Bombyx mori: one gene and its partners. The main gene of each other region encodes a partner of the protein of the gene in region 3 in a complex. Links are inferred from orthologs where the notes say so. Each region holds a gene or a part of one and is shown on either strand. Other genes may lie near its edges.

Region 1 (6,404 bases), on a different chromosome or scaffold from region 3:
CTTTCGACGACCCGGCTCACGGCTTGCGGTGACGAACAGACAAATAAGGCTTATCCTATTATACTGTATTAGTCATCAGGGGTGATACTGATGTCCATATTGTGTGATCACAGAAAGAAGTCCAGAAAAATATAGACAATATATCATCGAGAGCAAAGCGGGTGAAGCGAGACGACAGCGCCGGGACCGCGCCCGCCCCCCGGGGACAGCTCGGTGAGTCGCCCGGGCCGCTACACTCCACACCTGACCGCTGGTGTCATTAGTATATGTTACAGTCGCGTGTGTCGCAGCGGACGTGCTGCGCGGCGTGCGCTTCGTGCTGAGCGGCTACCAGAACCCGCTCCGCCAAGAGTTGCGCCGCGAGGGGGTCGCGCTGGGGGCGCGCTGGGAGCCCGTCTGGGGGCCCGCCTGCACGCATCTCATGTACGTGCCCTCCGACCTCCCGACATGTTGTAATGTCCGTTGTGCCACGTGGAGTACAGCGTCGTGTCGCCGGCAGATGCGCGTTCCCCAACACGCCGAAGCTGCAGGAGGTGCGGCGCGTGGCGGGCGGCGCCGTGCCCGCCGTGCGCGCGGACTGGCTGCGAGCGTGCCGCCGCGCGCGCCGCCGCGTGCCCTGGCGCCCCTACGCCACGGAGCCGCACCAGCGCACCGCACCACCACACGCTGCAGGTTCACGCACCACGCCGACAGTTCGATTGCTCATTCATTAATAAGAACAGACGGACGCCGCTACCAATATTTTTAAACCACAATACAAAATTAATTATTATTATTATTTTTTATTTCCTTTGTAGGCAGACCAGCATACGGCCCACCTGATGGTGAGTGGTTACCGTCGCCCGTGGACTTCAGCAATGCCAGGGGCAGAGCCAAGCTGCTGCCTACAAATTAGGCAAAAATGTAATTAAAACGTAATTTTGACCAATTACTTGTCGTCCAGAAACTGACGAGTCAGCGGACACCGACGAGGAAGTGCGGGACCGCGGCCGGGCGCCGAGCCCCCCCGCCGGCGCGACAGGGTCGAGGGGGGGCAGCGGCGAGCCCGACGTGCAGTTCGTGTGCGACGAACGAGTCAAGGCGTCGCTCGCGGTCGAGTCGGACTCGGACGAGACCGACGCTGGGGCCGACAGCGGCGCCGAGCACGCGGCACGTACACTCTATTACTAACGGATTAGTTAGTAATAGAGCTCGTCCACACATCTAAGCAATAAAAAAAAAAAAAAAATTACTTTTTTTTTAAATATTAAGTATTGTTTCCAGATAGACGACAGCAAGTCGCTGCCGGCGTTCTTTGAGGGAGTAACGTTCGCGGTGGAGGCCGGGGACACACAACTGCGGGCGCGCTGCTGGCGCTACCTGCGGGCCTACGGGGGGCGCGTGCTGCAGGTCGCTCGTGCTGCAGGCACAACAATATGACATGCCCTTCTTCAAACGAGGCTTGTAGAGAGTACTTAACGATAGGCAGCGGCTTGGCTCTGCTCCTGGCATTGCTGAAGTCCATGGATGACGGGAACCACTCACCATCAGATGGGCCGTATACTCGTCTGCCTACAAGAGCAATAAATTTATATTCTTATATTTATATTTATATAAATTTATATTAATTCAAAATAGTTAAAAAATTTCATGATTGTCACATTTCCTCTATGATTGGATAAATATACATATTTTCCTAATTTTAAACAAATGTACATTTTTCAGAAGTCTCAGCTGGATGAGGACAGCCGCGTAGATTACGTGGTGTGCGACGACGGCGCCGCGCCGCGAATCAAGGGCCGCGCCGTCACTGCAGCCTGGCTGTGGAAATGTCATCAACAACGAAAACTGTGTCCAATATAACGACAGCTCAACTTGTGAATTCCTTTCATTAAATAACTGTCAGCTAACAACGCCTTTTCTTTCACAAATCTCAGTAAATGACCACCATTTTACTAAGATCCCATATCATCTCATTTCATTTAATTTCATTCTAGTTGATTAGGGTCAATTCCCACTGAAAGAGCAGCGGCCGGCAGCGTCTTTTTTAGGCAAAATATTACAAACTATTTTGAATCTTATCTACGTGATTAAAAAGTTCATAGTCATTTGAAGGCAAAGGAGGGGTAGCGTGACGTCGCGAGGCTGCACGAGCCTTCTACCGACTAGTCAAAAGAGGCGCCGCGCGGCTGATCGCGGCGCAGCTAGCTGACGTGCGGCCGACCGCGGTGCAGCTAACAGACTCGCGGCTGCGCGCGAGCGACCATTTCATACCCGCCCGCCCTGCCGCTTACGCATTTCGCGTCATTTTATTAGAGGGTATCAAGTTAGAACGTGCTACGCTCCGTGAGAAAAAAATGTACCCAAAATTTTCTTTTCCTTTTTCTTTCCGTTTTGTTTGTTACTTCTTGTTCTTCTTCTACAGCCAGTGCTATGATACATAAATCCAAATCCACCATATTTATTGCCACACAACTTTCCTTGAGTGAAGTAGATCGCACACTAGTTTTCAAAGCTACTACGCGGAGGTTCATTGCGGCGCCTCGGGATGCCGCGCTGCCTCTCGCGGCGCCGCACTGCCCCGCGCGGCGCCACACTGCCCCTTGCGGCGCCGCGCTCAATCACTTGCTCTTACGGCCGCTGCGCGCCGCTGCTCTTTCAGTGGGAATTGACCCTAATGTCTCAAATTAATCATCTTCATTTTATTTCATTTCACTCCATATTATCATTTTTCATAAAAATAAGACATGACTTAAAGGTCTTAATTACCAGTTCATAAAATCCCTAAAAAAATTAAAATTAGCAGAGATAATACCTACAATATTCTCTTGTACTCTGTGTTTCTGGGTTTGTAGTTTTGGTCGAATTAAAAATGGCTCTCAATATTAGTGTGAAGGTCCATCCTGTTGTTTTATTTCAAATTGTGGACGCATACGAACGTCGAAATGCAGATTCTCACAGAGTTATCGGCACCTTATTGGGTTCGTATTGATTTATAAATCATGCAATAACTATAAATTCAAAGGACATTAGTTGTCAACGTCATGTCGTGTACCAAATTTTATGAGTTGTTATTTAAAAGAAAAATCCCTAAATGCTAAATATGTACGTCAATTATCATTACACATTTCACTTTGGCTTTTCCACATCAACGTTATAGTTAATTTGATAAATTCCTTGGTCACATAAGCCAGGTGCAATACAAATGTGTAAAGGCGTTGTAAGGTTATGTTGTGCTGTTGCTGCAGGCACGAGCGACAAAGGAGTGGTGGAAGTAACCAACTGCTTCTGCGTGCCACACAAAGAACATGCCGATCAAGTCGAAGCGGAACTTAATTACGCGATGGATGTTTACGAGCTGAACAGAAGAGTCAATTCCTCTGAAAGTATTGTTGGTGAGCTATACCTGCATTATACTCAAATTCACATATGTAACAATACTCACAGACGCATACACACACAATTTACACTAATTATTATTATTATTATTATTATTATTAATGCTTTATTTCAGTTATTATTTTTTTTTAAAACCATAACATTTTGTTAGTAATAATTACTTATAATCTATGTTAGTAACTTAAAAATCTAACACATAACTATCATTATATTATACATTTTATACCATTATATATTATTATTTTTCTCCTTCCAAGTGCCTACTGCAAAGGCTATTGATCAGCAGTCCCTCGATCTTGCTCGATATGATTCTCAAAAGACTGTTGTCACTGTCACGAACTCGACGCAATAACGATGCACTTCTCTTCCGCATTATTGCAAAGAAGTCATCTGTGTGAGATGTCGCAAACATTGTGGATGCACTACAAAAGCGCGGCAGTGACAACATCATCCTAAACGCATTATTATATTGGACACGTAGGGCATTGTAAGCTCTCCGCGTGTATGTGGTCCACAGACTACTGGCGTAAAAATTCTGGCAATAAGCTTTAAAAATTGTAAGTTTGACATAGCTATCGCAACCAGTAAATCTGCGGGCCAGCATGTTGCATCTTACTATCAACTAATTGCCACATCATCATCATTTTCCTGCCCTTCTCCGAGTCACCTGGAGTCGGCGCAACATATTTTCTCCGTTCATACTCCTCTATCATAATACCATTTCTTCGCTCATTCCACTCTTACACATATTGTCCTTCATGCAATCCATCCATTTCTTCTTAGGTCTACCTCTTCCACTATAGCCTTCCACATTTATAGTTAACACTCTTGACAATTGCCAATTAATAAAATTGGATCTTTTACTTCCCTTAGCATACCTTATACATTTAAATTCAAACTCATTTGTATTATTTTTAGGTTGGTGGGCGACTGGCAATGAAGTAACCAACCACTCCTCTGTTATACACGAGTATTATTCCCGTGAATGCCGTGAGCCTGTCCATGTTACTCTGGACACTTCGCTGGCTGGAGGTCGAATGGGTTTACGTGCATATGTTTGTGTACCATTGGGAGTGCCAAATGGAAAGCAAGGTTGCATGTTCACTCCTGTAGATGTCACTCTCACATGCTATGAACCTGAGGTAATTATTGAAGATTTTGTACTGTATTCATTGTCAATATTTGCTTTATTAAGCAAAAATATGGTGAAAACTGCTGAAAGGCCATTAAACTCTGACTGTTACAGGTTTAAATTTGTGTTCAAAAGGCTTCAAAATCATGAGCTGTTTTAGACTCAAATTTGTTAATATTTCAATATCCATGAACTCCAAAACTGCATTGTGTGGAATCACATATTGTTATATTGTTAAATAAAAAAAGGGTGCGTGTACTTATGTGCGCGCGTAAGAAGTTATACTTAATTTTTATTAATTTTTTTTTTTTAATAATCATAAATTAATAATAAATATTTAATGTTAATAATTTAATAATGTTTAGTATGAATTACAGTCAAACCTGGATAAGCGAGAGTTAAAGGGAGCACAATCTCATTCTCGCTTATAGAGGTTTCTCACTAACCCGAGTTTCTCCCTAATGAACCCTCTGAATGTCATTTCGCGATTTTCCAGATTCAAACGCATTCACTATTTTAAGTTTATCACTTAATGACAGTACTTTAATTTTCCGTTTTGACATGATGCAGAACAGATTTTTCCCTCGCGATTGATTAACGATAAACTGAGTAAGTCTGACAAACAGGACGGTACACCGGGACACGTGTCCATTCGAAAAGAATGCGATAAATTAACAACGTTATTTAGTTCCACGAAATAGAATAGGTTCTATATTGACGAGAAAACAATACAAAAACAATGTTAAAAAGTTCCATGAAATTTAAGAATGGGTCATAAAATAGCAGATGTTAAATTTGTAATTTGTTTTGTCATTTGTTCCTCCTAAATAATATTATTATAAATAAATAAAGCTCGACTGTCGCTTATAGAGGTATAGACAAGTAGCAGTCTCACTTACGGAAGTCCATAAGGGAAAAAACTACTCTCGCTTACAGAGGTTTCTGTCTCTCGCTAATAGAGGTCTAAGAAGCTAAAAATGACGGGTCCTGGCTATTACTCTCATTTATAGAGTTTTCTCACTTATCCAGTTCTCACTTACCCAAGTTTGACTGTATATTAAAATCCCTTATTAATCTGGTAATTCCTTATTAGCAGGAAAGGCCTGAGCATATTAAAACGCATTACTGCTTCACGGCAGAAATAGGCGGGGCAGTGGTACCTACCCGTGCGGACTCAAAAGAGGTCCTACCACCAGTAAAAAACCTATCTAGAGTTTTAATGTTTTGCGGCATAGAGTAAACGTTTGCTTTGATTGATTAGATTGTAGGTCTACAAGTGTGCCAGAAGACTGTGTCTGGTGGAGGTCGCGGGTCGAGCGGCGTGGCCGCGGGCTCGGACCTGGCGCAGGTGATGTCGGCGGCGAGCTCGCTGGAGTCGCTGCTGGAGCAGGCGCTGCAGTACGCGGACGGAGCGGCCGCCGGAGCACCGGCCGACGCGGAGGCGGGCCGTGCCCTATTGCAGCTCGCACATTCCGCACCTGACCTTGCCAAGGACACCTTCTCAGATGCCTTCGCCTCCAGCGTCAAAGATCTGCTCATGGTAAGTTCACACTCAACCACTCTACCGTGCTGTGGGCTTAACTAGAACATAATATATGAGTAAGTATAAAGGATGGGACGGTTTCTGGACATCTTTCATGAACACTGACATCCAGGCGAGACTATGAGACAATTTGTTAGCTGATCTACTTGTGTTGCTAATGGCAATTACTTACACAGGGACTATACAAGTGCCTATGATTATTCATCCAAAACTTGTGCTGAAATATAGTTTTGTCAATTCTGCTGTCCCTCATCAACAGTACTAATGTCAGCCAGTTCTTGAACATTACCTTTATATAGTGCTGGGTTTGATTTACCATTTGCTTTTAAGCATAAGATATCATTAAACTCA
Region 2 (5,754 bases), about 2.1 Mb from region 3:
TTTGCTTGTCTTTTTTTTAATTGCCCTTGTTGTCAGACGAGCATACGGCCCACCTGATGGTGAGTGGTTACCGTCGCCCATGGACTTCAGCAACGCCAGGGGCAGAGCCAAGCCGCTGCCTATGCTGCTTGTGCATGAATACAATACATTAATTTAACGTACTGGTTCTCCATTGATCAGAGGACTTCTTTTCCCCAGCATCAGGTGCTTCCTTGCCCCTCCAGGCGTCGTCTCGTTCGGTAGGGGCAGGTTGTCCTCGTCTCCAGCTGGAGGAGGTGGCGGGCGGGGGGACGGCGGCGCGTTGTCCCTCCAGTTTCCGTTGTATCTCGGCTTCCTTGGCGCGGGCCTTGGCCTCGGCGCGTGCCAACATCTCTCTATAGAATAAAACAATCATTACAATTTCATTACTGGTGGTAGGACTTCATGAGTCCGCACGGGTAGGTACCACCATCCCGCCTATTTCTGCCGTGAAGCAGTAATGCGTTTCGGTTTGAAGAATGGGGGCAGCCGTTGTAACTATACTGAGACCTTAGAACTTATATCCCAAGGTGGGTGGCGCCTTTGTAGATGTCTATAGGCTCCAGTAACCATTTAACACCAGGTGGGCTGTGAGCTCGTCCAGCCATCTAAGTAATAAAAAAAAACCTAATTTTTAGCTAGAAACTAATTGTACAAATTTATGTAAATAACAAACTTGTGTTCTTTCTCTTTTTTCTCTCTCAACGCTTCCATTTCTTCTTGCTGTTTCCTCTCTCGTTCTTCCCTTTCTCTCTTTTCTTCCTCTTCCTTGATGCGTCGAGCTTCCTCAGCCGCACGTTCCTCAGCGCGACGCTTCTCTGTTATCCACTGCAATAATAAATTTAGTTTTCTTTTTAATATTCTTGTTACATTACAAGTTTAAATTATTTAGCTAACGGAACGTTGAAAAGATTGAATACTAGTACATTCGTAACTTTGGATATCATTCATATATGAGGCAGTCAGCGCAATAGTTTGTGCTTACGTATTGCAATTTATTTAAAATATAATAAATTTTGATGCAAAATCTGCCTATCCCTAGTTTCATCCATAGATAACAGATTCCTTTGTAAACATCATTTTAGTGCGTATTTTTTGCCTATTATATTATTAGTATTGTAAAGGATAATTCGAACCTCATTATCTTCATACTAACTATGGTAAGCTTAGGCCACTTTTGCATTGACGGCTTCATATCAGAAATTTATTAGTTTTGCTTTAATGGTAACATATTAAATTTTTATGTGCATGTCTAGTCTTCATTATCGGGAACAATGGTGTTGTTGGAACATATAAGAGTTGTACTCATTTAAAAACCAACTGTCTGACAATCTAATGCAACGTCTATTGAAATTTTCCAAAGATCGGCTGTAGGTTATAATCATATCAATCTTTTACCTCATGTCTTCTCTTCTCGATTCGCTGAGCGCGTCTCTCAGCTAATCTCTTTTCCTTCTCGGCTTGAAGTTTCTCGTTGAAAGCGGCTACCTTTTGAGCGTAGGCGGCCCCACGTTCCGAGCGAAGTCGCGCCATGAATTCGTCGCGGTGGACCGCCATGCGGGACATGCGCTCCGACGTGGCCACGTCTAAGGCGCGAGCCTCTGAGGCAAGGAAATTGTATAATTAGTGGCAAGACAATATGTCACATCCAGTGAGACGTGCAGCGACGTGTAGTCACAATTACATTACTTTTACATTTTACAATTACATATTACATAGTCGCAGCTTTTCCTTCGCCTATTCGAAGCACTGGATTGCAAAACTCAATTCTGCTGGATTCAATTTGTTTTTAAATACTATAGTAGAACTATTTTGTCGGCGCAGTTTGGGTTATAAGTCATAGCCCGGCTAGGGTGGTGACCACATGGCGCGGGCCCTACGCTATTATCGATAAAAACAAATGAGTCATCGAAGGCAGGTACACGGCGGCGGGGTGGTATACGAAAGGTGGTGAGACATTGTTATGTTATGAGTCATTTGCACCGACCTGCAAATTATAGTACATAACATGTCGAAGAGAAATGTGTTTTTGTGCATTCACTCTCTGAATTTCTTTAGTGACATAATGGTTACTTCTTTGTTTTGTACCAAAACGGCAGAATTTATTCAAAACAATATTTTGCCTGTCGGCAAAAATATACCAGCACAAGCATGTGTTGTTATCAACAATGTTTTAAAATTTTTCACTGAAATGAAAATAGAACCCGAAAAGTTACAAAGTGTTAATTTCTGCCGTTCTCGTTAACTTGCTGCGGCGATATGTAGTGTAAGTTTATTATTATTATTATCAAGATTAGTGATATTTTTTTTCATTTTTATCACTAAAATGACAAAATTAATACACTATCGATAAAGCTTATCGACAACAATAATGCGCATCACTATGCTCGTCCATAAGGCCCGTGAGTGGAAGAGACAGCGAAATACTCGCTTCACCGCTCCGATTATTTATGTCCCAAATTGCACGGACAAAATAATTCAACTAGAGTTTGTTTAGTGTTAGTGTTTCGCATTTTTTGCTTACCTATGAGTTGTTCGATGCGTTCTTTTTCCTGTTGCTCCCAGAATGCCTTGTCTTGAACCTGTTTCTCTTCCAGGCTCTTCTGCAGAAGTGGTATTTCTTCCAATCGCTTGGCACGCTCAAAGTAATCCACCTGTTTGTTATTTATATTGATGAAAATTCGTTTATGAAATAAAGTGTTACTAGTTTCGGTTAGGAAGACACAGATATATTACATATTAATGTTAAGATTTTAACTTCGTGTTGGTAGCGTTTACACTTTTACTTAGCATTTCATGTCATACCAGTTGGTGGTGAATTTCAAAAAGGTTGCAATATTTTAACACTGAACCAATTGTTGATGTAAAATAAGTAAGACAGGATGTGTCAGCCATTTTGTGGTAAGTGCGTGTCAATTATTATTTACTAGCGACCCGCCCTCGCTTCGCTTCGGAAACATTAAATTTTATTATTGATATAGGCGAAGCCCGCCATGTTACGTGCGGTAGGACAATAACTGCGGGTGAGGCCGCGGGGCGAAGCTAGTCTAAAAAAAAAAAGTGTGTGTGTCCGCTCCGACGCACGACTGGAGTTTACTGGATATAAAAAATTAAACGAAACAATACGAGAAATAGTTCTATATTACGAAAACACGATACACTACAGATTATTAACAAATTAACGAGACACAAAACAAACGACTAACAAATATATGAAAATACAATAATGAGAGAAACGCGCGATCAGTACGAGGCTTTGTGGCGGACTGCCGGCGCAGCAGCCCGGCGTCACCTGCGATAACGCGGCCGCGCGTTGGCTCCTGATTGGCGCGCGCACGCATCACGCAATCAGGAGCCAATCAGGCGCATAACGCATTTCGTGTGACATGCTAGTACGATTTTGGTCCCCATAATTTTCATACCCCGGGCCTATATATGTAAATCGATTCTAAAGGAGTAAACTCCAAAAAGTTGCCCAAGTTACTCTTTATATCATCAGCTACCTATTAGTGAAAGTCTCATCAAAATCGGTTCAGCCGTTCCAGAGATTAGCCGGAACAAACAACAGACAGACAGACAAAGATTGTAAAAAATGTTATTTTGGTGTATGTACCGTATATATATTCATATGCATGTAGTAAAAAGCGGTTATTTCAATACTACAAACAGACACTCTAATTTTATTTATATGTATAGATTGAATTTCTGGATATTTTAATGTTGACAGTACCTTTTTCTCCTGTGACTTCAGTCTAGCCTGAAGCTCGCGACGTTCCTTCATCAGTTCTTCAGCTTCCCGCTGAGCAATAGCTTCAGCATCCATTTTCTTAAGATCCTGCATTCAATAGTGAAATAATGTATTTTATATTAAGTTTTTTTTTTATTTAGGTTTGTTGACCTTGTTGAATACTCTTATGTTGTGTTAAAGGAAATGGACAAAACGAATGTCCAATATTAGACTAAATAGGATTAGCTGGTTGTAAGAATACTCAGGATGCGAAAAATCATTTTTATTAGAACTGCGACAAAAACGAGTCTGGCAAGCATAGGAAATCAATTATGTTTCTATTTTTCTAAATTCTAACACAAACTATGAAACTTAATTAAACATTCATGTAACATTGTTGGGTATCAAAATGTGTAAGTTAACCCTAGACGAATCACTAATACATTAATCACATGCGACATCATGTGTCGTGTAGTTAGCGTTTGGCTTGACGTGAAAAATGGATACCGGACTTTTTATAATTTCAGAAAAATAGTTTTTGAATTACATATAATCAATCAAAAAAAAATAATTTTTTTTATTCAACATAAATGAAAGTACATACTTGTTGAACGTCAAAAAGAACTACCGCCAATTCACAAAAACTAGCCTGCGTCCTGAGAAGAACTGGCAAGAAAATCAGCGGGCATGTTTTTTTTTTTTAATATTAGATTTTTTTAATTAAATTAATTAGAAAGAGATCTATTGTAATTAAGATTAAGATATAATTATCGATTATTTCCTTTAATTATCTTATGTTCTTTAATGCAGCAAATGAGAACAGTAAACAAGACGAACCTCCTCATTGAGTTTTCCGAGCATCTTTTGTCCGTGCGCGGTCTGAGAGATGTGCGCCATGCGTTCCTTGAGGTGTCGCTCCCTCATGGCGGCCAGCTCCGACGCGTGGCGCTTCTTCTCGCGCTCCTCACGCTCCTGCTCCAAGCGGCGGGCCTCGGCGATGGCGGCCGCGCGGAGCTGCTCCTCTTGACGCCTGATACGTCAAATCATTTCGTTAGTTGTTCCGGTTATTATTATTTTTTTATTGCTTATGCGGGTGGACGAGCCCATAGACATCTACGACGTAAATGCGCCACTCACTTTGAGATATAAGTTCTAAGGTCTCAAGTATAGTTACAACGGCTGCCCCACCCTTCAAGCCGAAACGCATTACTGCTTCACGACAGAAATAGGCGGGGTGGTGGTGGTACCTACCCGCGCGGACTCACAAGAGGTCCTACTTACCACCTTTGCTTAGTCCTATTTCTAATATTAATTAACGATCGTCATAGCTCTGAAAGCTTTTAGTGGACCTGTTTTATTTTTCTAACCTATCTATAACACGGGTCAACACCAATTTTGACTTTGATGGCAAAACTTAAAATTTCGATATTTTAGATCGTAATTAGACGAAAAAATAATACATGGCATGAAACAGTTTGCTTTTGAACTTTAATAAATTGACCACATATGAAACAAAATGCATCAGCATCGTATTTACACTTTCGTGACATTTTAAGTTTTTCTGGGCTTGTACAAAACACCTGACCGTTGTTTATGACTCGAGTGCCATCTAGTGGCACTGTGTGAACGTAAACACCCCACTTTGATAGCGCGTTTTTTTTTTAAAGTATTAAAATTAATAAAAAATTTATAAAAAAGTTGAAAAATGAGTATTATTACTATAACTATCACAAAAGCAAACTTTTGTTTTCGTTTTTGTGAATAATTAACTGGAAAAATCTAGTATAAACGTTTGGACAAAGAACGAAATTTTTTTTGTAGTTGTGTAATTTAGCTAAATTAATTCAATAAAACACATGAAATATAATAGCGGAATTGAAAGCCGATACATCAAATGAAAAAAAATGTGCAAGCATACATTAACACAGGCTATACACGTGTCGTATATTCTGTCGCGTCTAGCTACAATACGATCTACCTCTGAGGCCTACCATCATATAACCATTTAG
Region 3 (6,190 bases):
AGCATAGTTCATACTGGCCAACAGAGACCAAAACCATTTAAATGTTCCAATAAAGACTGTGAAAGAAGCTTTGCCACCAAACATTCATTGTTGGTGCATTTTGCACACACTCACACGACAGAGAGACAGCACAAATGCACAACTTGTTTCAAAGGTTTTGCAACAGCCTCAGGCTTAAAAATGCATATGGAATCTCATGCCACTGTGGAGCTCCATTGCAATATATGCGGGAAGAAACTGTCAAATAAAAGAGTTCTTCAAAAACATATAAAAACTCATAATGTTGATGCCAATGACATGATATTGGAAACTGTTGTTGATAATACTTTCTTCGAACAAGTATTTGATGCAAATATGTAAATTACTATCTAGAATTTAAAAAACTAAAGAAAATAAAGCATTTGTGATTTGAAATATATTTATTAATGGAAACAATATAAAATAAGTATATATAATAATAATGACTGTTTACACTTATCGCTAGGTTCTTGGATATAAATGAAATTATTGTTAATGGCAAACATTAACTCATTGATAACAATATTAGTATGTATGTACCTTACTTTATGATGCAAGAACATAATTCATGATGAGGTGTCTGGAACTTTCACCCATTTAAAATTTGGATTAGTTAATAGAACATAGGTACTTAAAGTAAGTACTCACCTTATATTGGTTGTTTTGCCCTAATATTGTTTTATTTGCACACAAGTCTTATTTATATATATTTAAGTGTACTTAAAACTTTATCTTAAAATAGTGAAACCTAGCTATTATACTGTAACTGTCTCTAATTGCATGAACAACAATTAGAAACAAATAGAAGAAATTTGTCATGATAAGTTGCTAGCCAAAAAGATAACACATTTATTTAAAGATTACAAGATAATTTTTTTTACTATATACTGTGCACAATAAAGTTATGAAGAATGAATGAAGGTTATGATGATCGAATATGATACAGAAAAGGTTTACCTAAATAATATGAATCATACACCATTTTATTAGATGTAACTAAGTGTACATGATCAGCTAACAATGGACAGTATCACACAAGAACCATTATTACATACTATGAAGCTTTATAAAAATGCCAGTCAGCTCAGCAGTGGTGACGAATGTATAGAGCATTAGTATGCAGTAAGAAGCCTTTCAGACAATTTACATTACTAGTAGGTTTATTATATATGGATTTTTCCTTTACTATGAAATCCCCTTTTTACACCATGTTGTTTATCAAATTGCTGCTGGTCATGTGATTCAAATAAAAAATAATCTTATCAAACTTTGCCATACATTAGTATTCCTTATCACACAAAATGATTACACTACTGAATTTTGCAAACCACTCACATTAAAAACATGCTAAATCTTTATAAACAGATACATTTAATAGATTAATAGACCCTTTTAGTTGTTGTTTAAAATAAATCTTTAATTTGCTATAATTATTGCTATTTCCCAAGTAGTTTATTCATTTGTTTATTTTGTTTACCAATCTTGATATCTGCAATCTCAACTTTGTCTTGAATAGTATCCACGAGGTTGTTTTGCTGTTCTATCTCTTCACCAAGTGCAACTCCTAGATGTTTGAGCCGGGATATAGCATGCACCATTTCATCCAAGTTCGAATCAAGTATATTATTTACTCTCTCGTTTTCTGTTTCAGGACTCTTAGCGCTTTCTTGAGACAAACCATGTAGGCGTGCTGAGGGATGACTCTCAAAGCGATCTTCAACGTTCCTAGACATATTATCTAGGGTTTCATCAAGCCTGCTACTACTTGTACCAGCATTACGTACATTCGAGGTCGCTGGACTTTTAGATGGTGTTTGATCACTTTTTCCGGAAATATAATTCTTCAGACCATAAAATACAGACTTTATACCATTTAAATGTTTTTGACTATAGTTTAAATTGGTGTTAATCTCATCAAGTCGCCTGTCTGTGTTCTGTAGCTGTTCACGTTGTCGGGAAAGCTCTTCGGCCGTTGCAATACCAATTTGTTCAGAATCACGAAGCAATCCGATACTTCTCGTTGATGAATCTATTGTCCGTTGTTCGATTTCTCTTTGTGTTTGGATCATAGCTTGGCGTTGACGTTCCAGTTCTGCAATATGACCTCCATAAGGCTTATTTGCTTGCTGTGTTTGAGGTATTCTTGACCGGAAGCGATCTACAAATTCGTTATCATCGACGTCGTCATTTTCGAATAGGTTGTTCGGATTTGTGAAATATTTATGCCCAGACATTGCTTAAAATGTAATTTACTACGTAGGTGTGTTCTCGTTACTTTATTGGTGATGTTCAAAAAGAATGCACTTGAAATTATGGGGGTGGTAAGCACAGATAATACACAATTATTATGGTAGGTATGTACCATAAATGTTTATTTTAGGTTTAATTTATCTGATACGACGAGCAAAGGGATGTAGCCAAATAAAACGATTTTTTTAAGTGTCTGTCTAATTGAACAAAAAAAGTCAATATGCCACGTTCCCTTTGCCTTTCCAATTGAACAATTGAAACAAAGTTTAGCTCTTTGATCAACTTTGATGCGTTTGACGTATGAAGTGAGTCGTGGGCAAGGTCTGTATTTGAGAGCTTTCTTTCTATTCGCTACAAATTTATTAAGTCTATCATCAGAGGATTGCTTGAAAACTGAATACCTACTCTGTTTTTAATATAAGACAGTAAGTATTGTAAAAATGTTAAACAGTTCTAATTTATAACCTCAACGCGAGGACAAGTCAACTATTTATTACTAATTTTGATGTTTATTTAAGATATTTAAGAAAATAAATTACCATTGGAGTCAAATAATGTTCATTTGGAATTAACGAAGTTTTCTTTTACAGAAGCATTAACTAACTCTTGTAAATATGAGTCGTTTCTTTGCAACTGGGACGGACTCGGAGTCAGAGAGCAGCAGCGAGGACGAGCCAGTAGTACGCGCCCCCGCGCCAGTTTACACGGTAAATTTAAAATAAATAATTGGGAATCAAGGAAACAAAATTTTCAATTTATAGTTTAAAAAAAGATAAATAGTTTTTTAAGTTACCAAGGGAGACTAACATTAATCTCATGTAGGATGACAAGATATATGAAACTTTTTTTCGGTAATCAGCAATGCAATTAGCAAAATTTTGTAACTCTTTTAGAAGTTTTGAAAAATGTGATCCTTTAAATTCTTTCCTAAATGTCCACTATCAGTAGCTAATAGAGGGGGTAGCGATCAATAATGTATTTCTGCTCTGCTCGCAATCTGCTATTGTGCCAGCTTACAGCTTTCTAACGACTTGTCCAAAAAATTGAATGGGCAAAGGGAACAGCCATATTTTGTAATGATTGTGAAATTATTTTAATTATAAATTTTATTTCTTGTATTCAGTCATCTTTGTAAAATATGGTATAATATTATTAAAACATTTTTAATTCATAATAAATAAGGTATGACATAGGATTCAACCCATGTTAAATTTAAAATATCTGAAAAAATCCCACAAGTTACATCTTGGCAGGACAAAGGGTTGCTCGTGCTACTCTTTCGTTCCTAAACTCTTAGTAGACTTGTTGGTCAACTGGCATACTGCTTGAAAGATAATTTGGAGTAATATAATAATATACATGGATAAATAATTTAATAGTAACAATAGTAAGCCACTAAAACTTCTATTTATTTCAATTATGAGTTTAATAAGTGCATCTAGTGATTGGCATATCAATTTGTTATTAATTTGTCTTGACTTGTATAACAAGATGCTTTGATTCCGGAATAGTACAGTGATGTGAATTAGATATGTGTTGTTCAATCAATTTTAGAGAATCAGATCAATACTGACCTGTTGACAAAATGATCCGGTTCGTTCGACCCGTTCAGTCAAACGTTTGGATTTCCGTTAATCACACCAATTTATGATGTGATTAATATTATCAGGTCACTGGCTGAATGAAGTTTAGTATTGAATAACAGTTTAAAGGAACTGTTATAGTTCGATTGTTTAGGTGAGATAAAAAAAATTCAAATACGTTATGCGTCATTATGCGACAGCGAACGTCTAACCGAGACGGGCGCGGGGCGAGACCCGGCAACCCGAAATGACCCGAATGACTGTTGCATGGTTCTTTTCTTCTGATTCGTAGGTTTTGTTAAACGGGTCAATCTAGTGAACGACTCATATTTTTTGAAATGTTCGCGCGGATTTTGAAACCCGGGTCGTTTGGTTCGTTCGTTGGCGAACGACACATATCTAATGTTAATTGTAATAAACATTAAACATATGCTTCAAATTTTAAAAAGAAAATGATCAGACTAAAAGTTATAAATTGATTGGGAGATAAGAGTTGCTGTGTTTTTTTGCTAATTTTTTTTTTGTTGTCATCTTTTAATATTGTATATTGTTAACAGATTAAAAATCTTAAAAGTGCGCCATTGTGGGAAAATTCTACAAGATTATAATTACAATTCACAATATTATTATAGTCCCAAGTCATTTCAGTAAATTGCCTCTATTTTGAGGTATGCACTCAGGATAAGTGAACAACAGGAAGGTTGCGTATACTTGTGTAAGAAGAGCCTGCGCTACCACGGCATGCATGTTTTACATGTCTTAGTTTTGGTCTTCAAATGATGATTATTCGAGTATTGAAAATTTCTTCCATTATAATATTGCGTTAATAAAATCAACTGGATAGTTATTTCTTATTAACACTAGCTTACTAACAACAGCTCTTACCGAGCATGGTTGTAACTCTAGTTAATGTTCTATTGTGATACATTAACCTCTCCCCAGTGCGGTGTCCTCTGAGCGGACTCCACAGATACGTGAAATGTCAAATCACATTTATCTATCAACAGGGACCCGTCCGCTCAAAGGACTTCAAACAGACGCGGCCAGTGGCGGCAACAGTGCCGCGTCCGCTCAGCGGACTTCCTATATTAAGGGCTATTACATTATTTTACTAGAGTTCTCGTTCTGAAGTACTTTCAAAATCGACTAAGCATGAATAGGTTCGCCTTATTACATAAAATTTGTTTGGTCTGTGGTACAAAAATTTTTCAAGATCGTTGATTTAGTTGGTGGCAATTTCAAACAAATTAATACATGTCTATTTTACATCTTTAGAATTATAAGCTTAGAATAATAATTTTTTCAAATTTTATTTAATAATTCAGTCAACTGTAGAAGAATATTGAACAAGAAAAGTACAATTAATTATAATTCTTTATATTGGCAACAGTTTAGTGACGATGAGGAAGAAACAAAGCGAGTTGTGCGCTCAATGAAAGAGAAGCGTTATGAGGAATTAGAAGGAATTATACACTCTATACGCAATCATCGGAAAATCAAGGATTTTAGTTCAGCATTAGCTTCTTTCGAAGAGCTCCAAAAGGCATACACTCGAGCCGCACCGGTTGTTCAAAAGGAGGAGAATGGAGTTGCTCCTAGATTCTTCATAAGAGCTCTTGTAGAATTGGACGATTGGGTAGTAGGAGCATGGAATGAACGTGAAGCCCGAAAAGCTCTATCAAAAGGAAACAGTAAAGCTCTTACCTCACTAAGACAGAAACTTAGGAAGTACACTAAAGATTTTGAAGCTGAAATATCCAAGTTCCGTGAAGATCCTGATCTACCCGATGACAATGAACGTAAAGGTAAGCAAATTAAAAATAAACGAAAACTTAAATTACATTCTTCAACACTACTTCATATTCAATGCAAAACAATTAATAACAAACTTTGTTCATAGATTCATCATCATCAGATGAGTCTGAAGATGAAGAAAAACCAATTAAAGAGAAGCCTAAACCCGAGCCCCTTCTTCGTCCACCACCAGAAGATGATGAATCATCAGATTCTATGGATTGGGCTTCTAGTTCTTCTGACTCCAGTTTTAGCTCTGATGATGAGGAACGTGGTACCTCCAATATTCGTGAACAATTCATCAAGAAAGTTACCAAGAAAGAGGATGATGAAGAGAAAATAAAACTTAAACTAAAGAAACGTGAGGAAAGACGTGAAAGGTCTGGTAAAATCAATAAACGCGACGTAGCTGATGATGGTGGTGAATGGGAAACAGTCAGAAAGGGTGCGGCGACTTCTGATAAGCCTAAAATGTTCGCTAAAGTATGTATATTACAATCTCCTTACTTAAATATTCAATTAGTGATACATAAATTAAGCAAATT
Region 4 (5,754 bases), on a different chromosome or scaffold from region 3:
TATGCAAAGTATGGATGTTACACACTTTATGTTGATGGTGTTGCTTGATATCACCTCTGTAGTCCTGGTGGCATAAAGCGTATTGCTTTATTACCTTATATACAGCGATCATTGTGTGCAGACAAAGGTCATGTGAGGCCCTGACTCTTTTGCACAGCATTCAACACCCTTTGCAATTCATGAGGAATTTGTATTAAAATTTTGTATAGGGTATGACAATATTAAGTTAAAGGTTAACTTACATCATGTTTGGGATAATAACCAAATCTAAAATACGATAATTCACCAGAAAAATGAACATAGTTTCATAACTTCATAGAATTGACAGGCTATAGTTGCTCTTGAATTGATATAATATCCATAATATTTAAATTATAAAATTTTACTAGCGACAAGAACGTGAGAAGGCTGAACGTCTCGTGACAGAGAAGACTGCAGAAGAAATGACTCCAGAGCAGAAGTTGGCTGAGAAACTTCGCCAGCAGAAGCTACAGGAAGAATCAGATTTGCGACTAGCCATGGAAACCTTTGGTATGCTTGATTGATTTGGTGTGCTCGTATTACAGTTTGTGGATTCCAAAATAAGATTCATTTTAAGCAATAATTAGTAGACATTCTAAAAGAGGGTTTATAATCCCTAATATAATGAAGTTGTTGTGGCCTAATGGATAAGATGTCCGGTGCATTCGTGTTGAGCGATGTACCGATGTTCGAATCTCAGGCGGGTACCAATTTTTCTAATGAAATACGTACTCAGCAAATGTTCACGACTGATTTCCACAGTGAAGGAATAACATTGTGTAATAAAAATGAAACCCGCAAAATTATAATTTGCGTAATTACTGGTGGTAGGACCTCTTGTGAGTCCGCGCGGGTAGGTACCACCACCCTGCCTATTTCTGCCGTGAAGCAGTAATGCGTTTCGGTTTGAAGGGTGGGGCAGCCGTTGTAACTATACATGATACCTTAGAACTTATATCTCAAGGTGGGTGGCGCATTTACGTTGTGGATGTCTATGGGCTCCAGTAACTACTTAACACCAGGTAGGCTGTGAGCTCGTCCACACACCTAGCAATAAAAAAAAAATTTAAAAAATTGTGGTGAAGTGGATTATTGTGAGCCCTCATAAGTAGGTATTACCACCCTGCTTTTATCTGTTGTGCAGCAGCCATTATGCTTTTATGAGATATCAGGCTTCATGGCTGCATGTTAAATCATTGGCATCATGCATTGAACGTTTAAGATTTTAATGACATATCTAGTTTTCAATATCTCCATAAGAGAATGATATTTCTTCTAATTATGATCCTTAAATTAATTTATTTTGTCATATGATCTTTTTAGAGAGTTAATACTTACGTAAAGTGTTAATTGTATGTGAAAGTGTATTTAAAATGGGTGAAGTATGACTTTTCTTGAGTAGATGGGTGAACTAAATCTAAATGATTACAGGAGCCTACAAACATAGTCACATAAATGCCACCACCCACCTTGAAACATAAAGTCTTCATTGAATTGTGTAATAGCTGTTCAAATCAAAAGGCATGACTGCTTCACGACAGAATTAGGCAGGATTGTGGTATCTACCTGTGTGGGTTTATGTTGTGCCTTTCTTTCATTAAATGTCAGTTGACAATCATAGTATGCTGATTTTATACAGAGAATACTTCTACCCATTCTCTGGTGAAATCCTTAGTTGCCTTTCACAACATGCAGAGGAAAATAAGAAATATAAATACACTGCTTTTTTATGTTTACTGGTTGTGGTGTAACAATAGCATTTATTATTGCATAAATTTGAGCAATAATAATTATTCCTCCAATAATTAATACATTATAATAACAATATAGAAAAAAGTCTACGTAGCGCACAAAACACCCAAAAACACACTACTAAACCTAGTGTAATATCAGCCTATACTAGGAAACTCATGGAGCGGAGACAGCAACTACATGTAACCAAACCAAAAACAAGAGCATTGAAAAATGAACTAAAAGCTTTATATAAACTCATAAGTAAGAACATAAGGAGAGACTACATGCTCCATCGATCAAAAACATTTGAAAAACATATACTACTGGGAGCATTAAAAAGGCGTACAAGGAGCTAATTACCTACAAGCCTTGGATTAAACAACTAAAAGAGTCAGATAAACTATCACATAATAGGACTGATATTATGAAAACCGCAACCAATTTCTACAAAAAACTGTATGATTGTCAAGTCCAAAACTTTACAAATATATCTGTCAGCACCAGCATACAAGTACCAGCGGAAGACGTCTCACAGATAAAAAAGATAGATGATTTAGAAGTTATAGAAGAAATAAAAAAACTTAAAGCTGAAAAATGTCCAGGGCCCGATGGAATCACTAACGAGGCAATAAAAATAGGCTCTAAATATCTTGCACATCCTCTGACACAGCTCTTTAACTCTATATTAGATTCAGGCACCACACCTTTTCAATGGTCAGAGTCGAACATGATTCTACTCTACAAAAAGGGTGATCCCACTGATATAGGCAATTATCGTCCTATCAGTCTGCTACCCACACTCTACAAACTTTTTTCATCAATAATCGAAAAGAGGATTAGTAAGAGAATAGAGGAACACCAACCAATAGAGCAAGCTGGTTTCAGACGTGGATATTCTACAATAGACCATATCCACGCAATTGAACAAATTGTCGAAAAATATAATGAATATCAGAAAACACTCTATGTTGTGTTTATCGATTATCGGAAAGCCTTCGACACAATCCGACACTCTTCTATATGGACCGCCCTAATCTCACAACGCGTTGAACACAAATATATAGAAATAATAAAGTGTTTGTATAACAACTGCACAAGTAGAGTCAAACTTGAGACGACAGGACCACCGATACCCATAAGGCGAGGTGTGAGGCAAGGCGACCCACTATCTCCGAAAATTTTCATAGCGGTACTGGAGATGGTCTTCAGCAAACTAAATTGGGAAAGAAAAGGGCTGAATATTAACGGCAATTTCATCAACCATCTAAGATTTGCGGACGATATTATTCTATTATCTGAAAGTGCTAAAGAGATGGAATCAATGATACACTCGCTAAAAACTATGAGCTATGAAGTGGGTTTGGAAATGAATTTAGATAAAACAAAAATTATGTCGAACAGTATAAAACATCCCATATATCTCGACGAAAAACCATTAGAATACGTAGATAGCTACATATACTTAGGCAAACAAATTTCCTTTGGAAAACAAAACAATGAATTAGAGGTTGAACGAAGGATTTCAGGCGCATGGAAAAAATTCTGGAGTCTAAAAGACATACTAAAGGGAACGATGCCTATTAACTTAAAAAAGAAACTAATGGACACGTGCCTGCTCCCCTCTATTACCTACGGCTGCCAAACGTGGAAATATACGCTACGCGTAAAGAACAAAATCAGGTCTTGTCAACGAAGTATGGAGAGAAGCATTACGAATGTGAGAAAAATACAAAAAATCCCACATAATGTCATACGGGAAAAGACTAAAGTTATAGATGCACTAGATTTCTCACAAAAGTTAAAGTGGCGCTGGGCAGGCCATGTAGCCAGGATGAGCGACGACCGCTGGACCTGTAGACTCACGCTATGGCGGGGGCCTGCAGGTATTAGAAGGAAAGGAAGACCGGTAACGCGTTGGGACAACGATATAATAAAAATCGCTGGTAAAAACTGGAAGACAATTGCCAAAAATAAAGACAAATGGAAAAGTCTGGAGGAGGCCTTCACCCTCACATAAGAGGGGTTCTTGCATGCCTGCATGCTAAATTAATATAACCTTTTTTACATATTTTATGTTGATCCGACTAATATTATACACAATTTATTAAGAATTCTATCATAATTAATATCGATTATTATTAATGTATTATCAACAATTTTTTTATAATTTTTGTAATGTAACTTTTTTTTAAATGCAAGAAATAAAAGGCTTTTTATTTTATTTTATTTTATTATTTATTAATAACAATAAGGCTTTTGAGTAAAATAATAAACATTCATATTCTCATACAATAATCGTATTTTATTGTGTTCAAAACTACTAGCAAATGTAATGATTGATTGTCCAAAATATATATTAAGATTACTTGGCACAATTTCTTGGCAAGTCTTAAAACTGCCTCAAGTCATATGAGACAATGTTTTTATTATAATATGTCTAGTTATCAGATTAGATAACTTACCCATGAAAATGATTACAGGTGTAACAGAAGGTAACATTGGTAAACTTGACAATTTCCACCCAACTACAAAAGAAGAGTACACAGAGTTTGCTGATCTCCTTACAAAGAAGATCACTTTCTATAAAGCCAAGGATGAATTTCCAGGATTCATTGATGACCTAGTCAAGAATATTTTAGTCCAGAGTAAGTAAAATTCATTGTTTATGACTTCATTGATTGTGTTTGTAATTCAAATTGCTGATTTTTGCTGTGAAACAGTAATGCATTCAGTTTGAAGTGTAGTGTAGCCGTTGTACTGCACAATTTAGACTTTCGACATAATGTCTCAAGGAGTATGGCAGCATTCACATTGTGATGTCACAGTAACTGCTTGTCACCAGGTGGGCCGTGAGCTCATTCACCTAATAATAAATAAACATATAGTTCATGCTTAATATGGGGCTTGGTTCTGCTTAATACGTAATCATCATCGTGAAGTAAATATCTTCTCATTGTCAGTGGTGGTCACCAATGTAGAATATGACATTTATAAATGAAATCTTTCATTTCTAGATTGAAGTTAATTCAGAGCAACTCCATTATTATGATTGTGAACTTTCTTTCATTAGATGCCGCTAAAGTGTAAAAAGTCTTATAAAATTTAATAAATTCTGGATTTTTTGTTGCGTTTCGCTATGAAGGGCGGGGCGGCTGTCGTACTGTTAAAAGTGAGACCTTTACATCTCATGTCTCAAGGTGGGTGGCGGTATTTACGTTGTAGATATCTATGGGCTCCGGTAACCATTTAACATCAGATGAGCCGTAAATTTGTCCACCCAACTATGCAATAAAAAAACATATCCAGATTAATCTGGTACGCAAGATCTCATCTAAAGTCATTAGGAAATAAATTTTCTTACTATGCTTAGATCTTTTCATATTACAAGAAATGTCATCTGCTTTTATCTGTTGTGCAGCAGCCATTATGCTTTTATGAGATATCAGGCTTCATGGCTGCATGTTAAATCATTGGCATGATGCATTGAACGTTTAAGATTTTAATGACATATCTAGCTTTCAATATCTCCATAAGAGAATAATATTTCTTCTAATTGTGATCCTCAAATAAATTTATTTTGTCATATGATCTTTTTAGAGAGTTAATACTTATGTAATGTGTTAATTGTATGTGAAAGTGTATTTAAAATGGGTGAAGTATGACTAATATGATAAAGTATGACTGAAGTATGACGAAGAATCTATAATTACAGTGTCATCAGCGGATATCCGACGAATAAAATTGACTGTCGATAATCTATATATTGAAAAACAGAAGGCAGAAAAGAATGATAAAACTAAGAAGGCCACAAAGGGCAAGGGCAAGGCCAAGTTAAAACTTGAAGGGGACAATGTGAGTTTATTTTTTATTTAGTTATCAGTAACTCGAATATCCAGTAATTAAGGTATGTTGTAAGGTTGCGTTTATTACTGGTGATAGGACCTCTTGTGAGTCCGCGCGGGTAGGTCCCACCCTGCCTATTTCTGCCGTGAAGCAGTA
Region 5 (6,446 bases), on a different chromosome or scaffold from region 3:
CACAGGGGGAACCAACCTCTATTCGAAGAAGAGAAGTCAACAAACACTCTGAACGCTTCTCTCTCCTCTTATGAAGCCAAAGAAAAATAGTACATACGGATCAAAGTTGGGTTGTGGTAGGCTACGCGAGGTCGAACCTGTGCTTTATTTAGGCGCTTAAGTTTTTATTAAGGAGTGAATTACAGCCTTATTCTAGTAAGGAATCATAAACAAGAATGGACACTCTGTCGTTAGTTTGAGTTTGATTTACGGAGATTTACTTTTTTTTTCTTTTTTTTATTGCTTAGATGGGTGGACGAGCTCACACCCCACCTGGTGTTAAGTGGTTATGTCTAAGTTCTAAGGTCTCAGTATAGTTACAACGGCTGCCCCACCCTTCAAACCGAAACGCATTACTGCTTCACGGCAGAAATAGGTAGCGCGGTGGTACCTACTCGTGCGGATTCACAAGAGGTCCTACCACCAGAAGACTTACTACTTAAAGCTTGTAAGCATCACACACTAAGATTATGTGCATGAAATAAGATGGAACTCTGTAATTAAATTAATAAAATATTTGCAGATATAAAGCTGAACATTTCATGCTGAAAATCATTCAAGATATTAAAACCGATGAGCCAATGATAAAAGCGTCTATCAGTATTTTAGCTCATCAATGTGAGCTATGTGGTCTTTGGTATAACGCCCTTTCAGAAGTAAAAGCCCACAGAACACAAGTTCACCAACAGTTTGATGCTATAGTTTATTAATATGCAATTTCCCTAAATGCTAGTTGTTACTTGCAATAAATTGTATTTTTTTTACTTACAAATAGATGTAGTATTTAACATTCTTATTAATTAATACAAGAAATAAGAACTGAAATATATTAATTTACAACTTCATAAATCTTTAAAATTAAAAGTGTTACATTTTATCTTTTTTTCATAGATGGGTACACAATCTCATTGCCCACCTGCTCTATTGATACTGGATACTATAGATATCACAATGTTCATATTATATCTACATAATAATATATTCCTAACCTATCTAATACATGAAGTTGAATTTTTTTTTTTTTATTGCTTAGATGTGTGGACCAACTCACAGCCCACCTGGTGTTAAGTGGTTACTGGAGCCCATAGACATCTACAACGTAAATGCGCCACACACCTTGAGATATAGTTCTAAGGTCTCAGTATAGTCACAACAGCTGCCCCACCCTTCAAACCGAAACGCATTACTGCTTCACGGCAGAAATAGGCAGGGTGGTGGTACCTACCCGTGCGGACTCACAAGAGGTCCTACCACCAGTACCCAACTGTATTGTAGAATAGCTGTCCCAACCTTCAAAACTTAATAACAGGTTCATGATAGAAGTAGCCAAAACGGTGATAACTACGCATGAGGATTTCCAATACCCCCTATTATCAGTATATGCTCGTAGGCTATATCAGTACACTATAATAATATGCTGAGTACTGCTGCCCATTCTCTGGCGAATCTCGCGTGACTCTAGGGGAAAAGCTGGTGCTATACCACACACAGAGTAAGTCGCTTTTATACATTGCTGCCTATACATATTTTGACAAATTTATTTTACAAGTCTATTTAAATGTCATAACAATGGCTTCATTTCATAATACATAGGTATTTGATAATTAAATACAATATGACATATTATGTTTTTACTGTTCCTTACCTTGTCAGTTGGCGACATCACCAGTTGACAAAAGTAAAGATATGATGCTGACTCCACATAATTTCCACATTCATAGCGATATTTGGCCAAACGATACATGCTATCGATCATTTCAATTTTAAACTGGAATAGAAATTGATATTAGTCAAACCATTCTTTTATTTTTAGTTTTATTTAAGGATTTATATTTATAAATTGAATATCTTGCTGGTAGACATATTTCATATATCTACTATATACTAAATATGTTTACTAAGACCAAACAATTTTAGGCTTATTTTTTTCTTTTTTTGGTGGACGAGCTCACAGCCCTCCTGGTGTTAAGTGGTTACTGGAGCCCATAGACATCCACAACGTAAATGCGCCACCCACCTTGAGATATAAGTTCTAAGGTCTCAAGTATAGTTACAACGGCTGCCCCACCCTTCAAACCGAAACGCATTACTGCTTCACGGCAGAAATAGGCAGACAATGATTTATAAAAAATATATAACAATTCTACTACATTCTACTACTGTATTTAAAAGATATATCATTAAAATTTATTAAGTTAACCAAGGTAATATTCCACTTAAAATTTATGATCTGAAGATAAAATTCTGTAAGCTGACATCATAAGCTAAGGCAGGTAGAGGATGTATATATGTTTCCTTTAAAGTGTACATATATCTAATGTATATGATATTAATAATTAAAATTATAATTATTTATGCAGAATTTTCTCAGCTGCTTGTTGTATTAGCACAAAAAAGTCTTCTTCTGAAGAACGAAATATGAAATTTTGATACACTGCCCTATTGCAAAATTCAATATTATACTGCAGTATTCTATGACATAATTCTTGAGTAATATCAAGAAAAATCTGGCATTGGCATAACAATATTTTTGTCAAAATCCATGTCAAATTACTCTTCTAATTTACAACTATTTTTTGTCATAAATTGCTATTTGCTCAAAATAGTGCTTAGTATTTTACTTTTAAATAAGATTCCACTGAATAATGAATTTGATCTTATTGAGGGGTTGGAAAAATAAATGCCCCACACTTGCTATTATCTTGATAAATATTTATACAGAAAAGCTTTTTACTTTTAAGTTACAATCGTACAACAATTGAATGAGGTGTTCTATGCCTTTCGGTTATATTATTCGGCTTTTGTATAATGTTTTCTTTTGTTTTGATAATTTGTGATTGGGCATAAAAAAGAAAGAAAGAAATATATATTTGGGAATACCCTTCTCAGGACTGTCTCTATTAGAGTATGTAAAATTGTTAACAATTTAATTTAATTAGCATTTTAAGTTATTATTCTTTCTTCATATAGAATAAATAATACTGTTTTGCTGTACTGCATGGCAGTTTAGTAATTATCTTTTCATTTAGTTTCCGTTGTATGAAAGACTCACCTCATACTCCTTGTTTGTCGAAAGATGGTTTATAAGAGTTTTAGGATCCCTCATGGTTTCAATTGTTTTCATTACATCATCTCTTTGCATGAGTCTCAATACTGGCTCTACTGCATCTTGAAGTTCCTGCAGTTCCGAAAGAACTACACCTCTCCGCTGTATAATTTCCTAGAATCACTTTTAGGTTTAATTAAGTCATTATACTAATTGTATATGCAATTTCGGAAAGGTCACATGTCGCATATTTTGTCAAATACGTTTTTTCATATACATGTAGTTTTGAGGCTTACCTACACCCATTTTATAATAATTCCAGTAATTTTCAATTGCTAATTAACACTAAAACGTATCTCAAAAGTTAATATTTTAAATTTTACACTGCTTTAGAAAATAATCAGTTTTTTTTCATCTCCTGAACATTTTACATTTTCAGAGATGTGCCCTTTTCGAAATTGCATATTCAATTATTCTTGTCATAATTATGTATTTAAACACATATACATATACATACATAGTCAGATGTCAGCATCTCTAATAATTTGTGTTAAACATCATTCCGTAAATAAAGTTAATTTAGGACAAATAATATATTTGTTAAAGATAAATTCTTACTTCAGGAGTGTCTTCTTCAGGATAGAGCATTCTTCTGATGTCAGTAACATAATCTATCATGTTAGTTTTGCTCAAAATCTCCAACTTTGCCTGCAGGAGCTCTGACTGGTCATATGTCTGAAAGTATTTGGTTTTAAGCCTTTCAGTTGCTTTTTAGAATGAAACGGACAACACTTTGTAAAACTTGACTACATAACCTACCTCCTTTGCTGCTAAGAATTCTAGTAAAGGAAACACGAGATGCCGATCAAGATACTGTCCTATTTTAAACGTTAAATCAAATTTTGAGTAACTCATGTTGATAGTTTATTTTCATGAATTCTTATGAAAATGGAAACACATGTAGTAGGTAGAAACCAACAACCTGTAATCTACAAATAGTATGTAGTAAAAGGAAAGCACTTTAGGCTACGTCCACAGTAAATATACTGAGTACAGAGTAAGCCAAAGTCAATAGTAGACAAATATTTAAAATGTTATCTATGGCGTAGTATGATATTTTGTTTATTGAGGGACTTTTTAGCGGGAACGCGAGGAGTGAAGTTGTGTGATTTGTTTTATTTTGTCTACTTAGTGTTTCTTCAGGTTTAAATGTATAGTAACGGTGGTTTATTAACTGTTTAGTATCTGTGAAAGTGCACAAATGTGGGAAAATGAAACAAAGCCAATGAACGTAACTTCTCGGGATCCTCCAAAAAGTCCACTGAAAAAATCTCAGTAAATCACCACCATTTTACTGAGATTATATTTCATCCCATATCATATAAATTCATTTGATTTCATCCCAGTTGATTAATGTCTCAAATTAATCATCAATTCATTTTTCATAAAAATAAGAATGTAAATTAAAATAAGACATTACATAAAAGTCTTATGCCCGTATCTTTAGACGTTTCGTAAAATAGTCCTCCACTCTAAACTCATCCGATGATGCTCGAATATTCCTCCCAAACTTACTCGAGTTTGGTATTTTTAGTCGACCATTACAATATTCCTCAACTGTCCTCGAGTAAGGTAGAGAGGTGCTATTGCGTCACCACGACAACATCAGTTTGAGGAAAATTTGATCAAGCTAGCATCAAACCTATAAGAGTTCTGTAGCTTATGGTCATTGTTTAATGTCAAAGTCAAGCTACCACTGTCTGTTTGACACTAGACGCATCGAACTTGTTTGATGTTTTAGTTGAGAGACTCATAAATACGTGCGCGTGCGGTGAAATAGAAGGTTTTCGTTTTTCTAACCCATGATTAATAAATTAGATTTCGGATTTTGAATAATAGCTCCTCCAGGAACCCGGCTTTGTATTTTTATTCGCTGTTTCTTTGTTGAATTTGATTGCATCGTCTTTTTGAAGTGCTTTTCCACAACCACCGGTTTATTATTCAGGTAAGTTATGATTGTGGTGTTTTATTTATTAAATAGTTAACTTTAAGTTAACTCAAATAGTTAAATATTTTTGTCCTTTATTACTCACTGCCTAAGCAAAGTTTTTTATAGATTTTACGTGAAATTACGATGCAGTAAATTATTTGTCGTTTCAGTTTTTCTATGATGACGTCCAGGCAAGTATTTAGCGAAAGCGAGAAGACCTTGCCTACAAGAATTAATTTTAAAATATAATCTGCACAAAACTGCTACCATGACAGCTAGTCAAAACACAAAAAAACTTTTGTGGATACATTTAACAGAAGAATTCAATTCAATTGAATCAAATGCAAAGGTAGATATTTATTTATATTACTTGTATCTGATTTTTACTTGTCTATATATACCATGCTATTCTTATTTATCATTTGTTTTAGCGAAGTGAGGCCCAGCTCAAGAAGTGCTGGGATAATTTAAAAACACGGAGGAAGCACTTTTTAGCTAATGAAAAGCGTCAGAGAATGAAGACTGGTGGCGGACAGTGTGTTCCAAATGAGCCACAGCCTGGTAGCAGCAATGAGACCCTTATTTTTGCTGAGGTTCTACTGGATCAGACTGATGTGGAACTCAGGGGTGACATTGACAGTGATACCATTTACAGTTCTGAAGGTAAGTGAATCTTAAAAATTTGAGATAAGTGCTTCAATCTCACATGCTCTCTCACAAAAAACAGTAAGAACGTGGTGGCATGGAGGGTCTTTTGATTATTGTTATATATCTATATGAGTCGAACTACATGTATTACTGTGCTAAAAACTAGATAAATAATATGCGTGACAATACCTGATAAAGATTTTCACTCAAGAAACCATTTTAATAATCATAATGAATATACCACATTCTGATTAAGAACAATATTACTTTAAAATTCTTTCCTCTACTCCAACTATCACTATTATTCTACCATACATAATTAAAGATTTTATTGTTTTATTTCTAGATATTGCAATGGAGCTTGAAACATCAGTTCCAGCAGTAGCGCAACCACAACAGAATGATGAAGTTCTGAGTGTCTATCTATATTAATTAGTTAGGGTAAAGCACAAATAATGCAATTTGTAAATCTAATCTAAATATATCAATATCTTTTTATAACTTCACCTTAATTGTATTGAATCAGATGAATTGACTATCACATTTTACTCAGTCTAATTAATAATTCGACTATAGTAGCTCAATCCAATTGTGGGATTTGAAACCACCCTTAATACCTTAATTACCACTAAAGCTATCATCACTTCAAAATCATAAATATACATTATATAGATTACTAAAATGTTACAAATATAGATGTATAACAATTGCATTTTATTTAAT

Evidence for each region.
Region 1: eIF3c (region 3) and eukaryotic translation initiation factor 3 subunit F share a complex: the UniProt entries of both Drosophila melanogaster proteins name them as parts of the eukaryotic translation initiation factor 3 (eIF-3) complex. The link is inferred for Bombyx mori from reciprocal best matches to the Drosophila melanogaster genes eIF3c and eIF3f1.
Region 2: eIF3c (region 3) and eukaryotic translation initiation factor 3 subunit A share a complex: the UniProt entries of both Drosophila melanogaster proteins name them as parts of the eukaryotic translation initiation factor 3 (eIF-3) complex. The link is inferred for Bombyx mori from reciprocal best matches to the Drosophila melanogaster genes eIF3c and eIF3a.
Region 4: eIF3c (region 3) and eukaryotic translation initiation factor 3 subunit J share a complex: the UniProt entries of both Drosophila melanogaster proteins name them as parts of the eukaryotic translation initiation factor 3 (eIF-3) complex. The link is inferred for Bombyx mori from reciprocal best matches to the Drosophila melanogaster genes eIF3c and eIF3j.
Region 5: eIF3c (region 3) and eukaryotic translation initiation factor 3 subunit E share a complex: the UniProt entries of both Drosophila melanogaster proteins name them as parts of the eukaryotic translation initiation factor 3 (eIF-3) complex. The link is inferred for Bombyx mori from reciprocal best matches to the Drosophila melanogaster genes eIF3c and eIF3e.

Annotation. Positions count from the first base shown.
Region 1 is NC_085124.1:490,057-496,460, reverse strand, and holds the start of eukaryotic translation initiation factor 3 subunit F, read left to right. Parts: upstream 1-2,796; 5' UTR 2,797-2,851; coding exon 2,852-2,960; intron 2,961-3,227; coding exon 3,228-3,374; intron 3,375-4,296; coding exon 4,297-4,520; intron 4,521-5,771; coding exon 5,772-6,050; intron 6,051-6,404. Other genes in the region: DNA repair protein XRCC1, read left to right, coding at 114-213, 276-423, 500-672, 944-1,149, 1,264-1,389, 1,705-1,842. UniProt on the Drosophila melanogaster protein: Component of the eukaryotic translation initiation factor 3 (eIF-3) complex, which is involved in protein synthesis of a specialized repertoire of mRNAs and, together with other initiation factors, stimulates binding of mRNA and methionyl-tRNAi to the 40S ribosome.
Region 2 is NC_085122.1:3,667,344-3,673,097, forward strand, and holds part of eukaryotic translation initiation factor 3 subunit A, read right to left. Parts: intron 4,776-5,754; coding exon 4,583-4,775; intron 3,854-4,582; coding exon 3,749-3,853; intron 2,673-3,748; coding exon 2,543-2,672; intron 1,620-2,542; coding exon 1,417-1,619; intron 847-1,416; coding exon 695-846; intron 375-694; coding exon 163-374; intron 1-162. UniProt on the Drosophila melanogaster protein: RNA-binding component of the eukaryotic translation initiation factor 3 (eIF-3) complex, which is involved in protein synthesis of a specialized repertoire of mRNAs and, together with other initiation factors, stimulates binding of mRNA and methionyl-tRNAi to the 40S ribosome.
Region 3 is NC_085122.1:5,757,611-5,763,800, forward strand, and holds the start of eIF3c (eukaryotic translation initiation factor 3 subunit C), read left to right. Parts: upstream 1-2,454; 5' UTR 2,455-2,589; exon of another isoform or gene 2,590-2,693; intron 2,694-2,858; 5' UTR 2,859-2,882; coding exon 2,883-2,975; intron 2,976-5,241; coding exon 5,242-5,656; intron 5,657-5,751; coding exon 5,752-6,128; intron 6,129-6,190. Other genes in the region: gastrula zinc finger protein XlCGF57.1, read left to right, coding at 1-360; soluble NSF attachment protein 29, read right to left, coding at 1,455-2,252. UniProt on the Drosophila melanogaster protein: Component of the eukaryotic translation initiation factor 3 (eIF-3) complex, which is involved in protein synthesis of a specialized repertoire of mRNAs and, together with other initiation factors, stimulates binding of mRNA and methionyl-tRNAi to the 40S ribosome.
Region 4 is NC_085125.1:12,541,066-12,546,819, forward strand, and holds part of eukaryotic translation initiation factor 3 subunit J, read left to right. Parts: intron 1-389; coding exon 390-531; intron 532-4,235; coding exon 4,236-4,400; intron 4,401-5,467; coding exon 5,468-5,607; intron 5,608-5,754. UniProt on the Drosophila melanogaster protein: Component of the eukaryotic translation initiation factor 3 (eIF-3) complex, which is involved in protein synthesis of a specialized repertoire of mRNAs and, together with other initiation factors, stimulates binding of mRNA and methionyl-tRNAi to the 40S ribosome.
Region 5 is NC_085111.1:12,362,071-12,368,516, forward strand, and holds the start of eukaryotic translation initiation factor 3 subunit E, read right to left. Parts: upstream 4,062-6,446; 5' UTR 4,001-4,061; coding exon 3,905-4,000; intron 3,821-3,904; coding exon 3,704-3,820; intron 3,260-3,703; coding exon 3,092-3,259; intron 1,808-3,091; coding exon 1,685-1,807; intron 889-1,684; exon of another isoform or gene 750-888; coding exon of another isoform or gene 563-749; intron 1-562. Other genes in the region: zinc finger protein 280B, read left to right, coding at 563-749; uncharacterized protein LOC119628513, read left to right, coding at 5,344-5,424, 5,507-5,738, 6,070-6,155. UniProt on the Drosophila melanogaster protein: Component of the eukaryotic translation initiation factor 3 (eIF-3) complex, which is involved in protein synthesis of a specialized repertoire of mRNAs and, together with other initiation factors, stimulates binding of mRNA and methionyl-tRNAi to the 40S ribosome.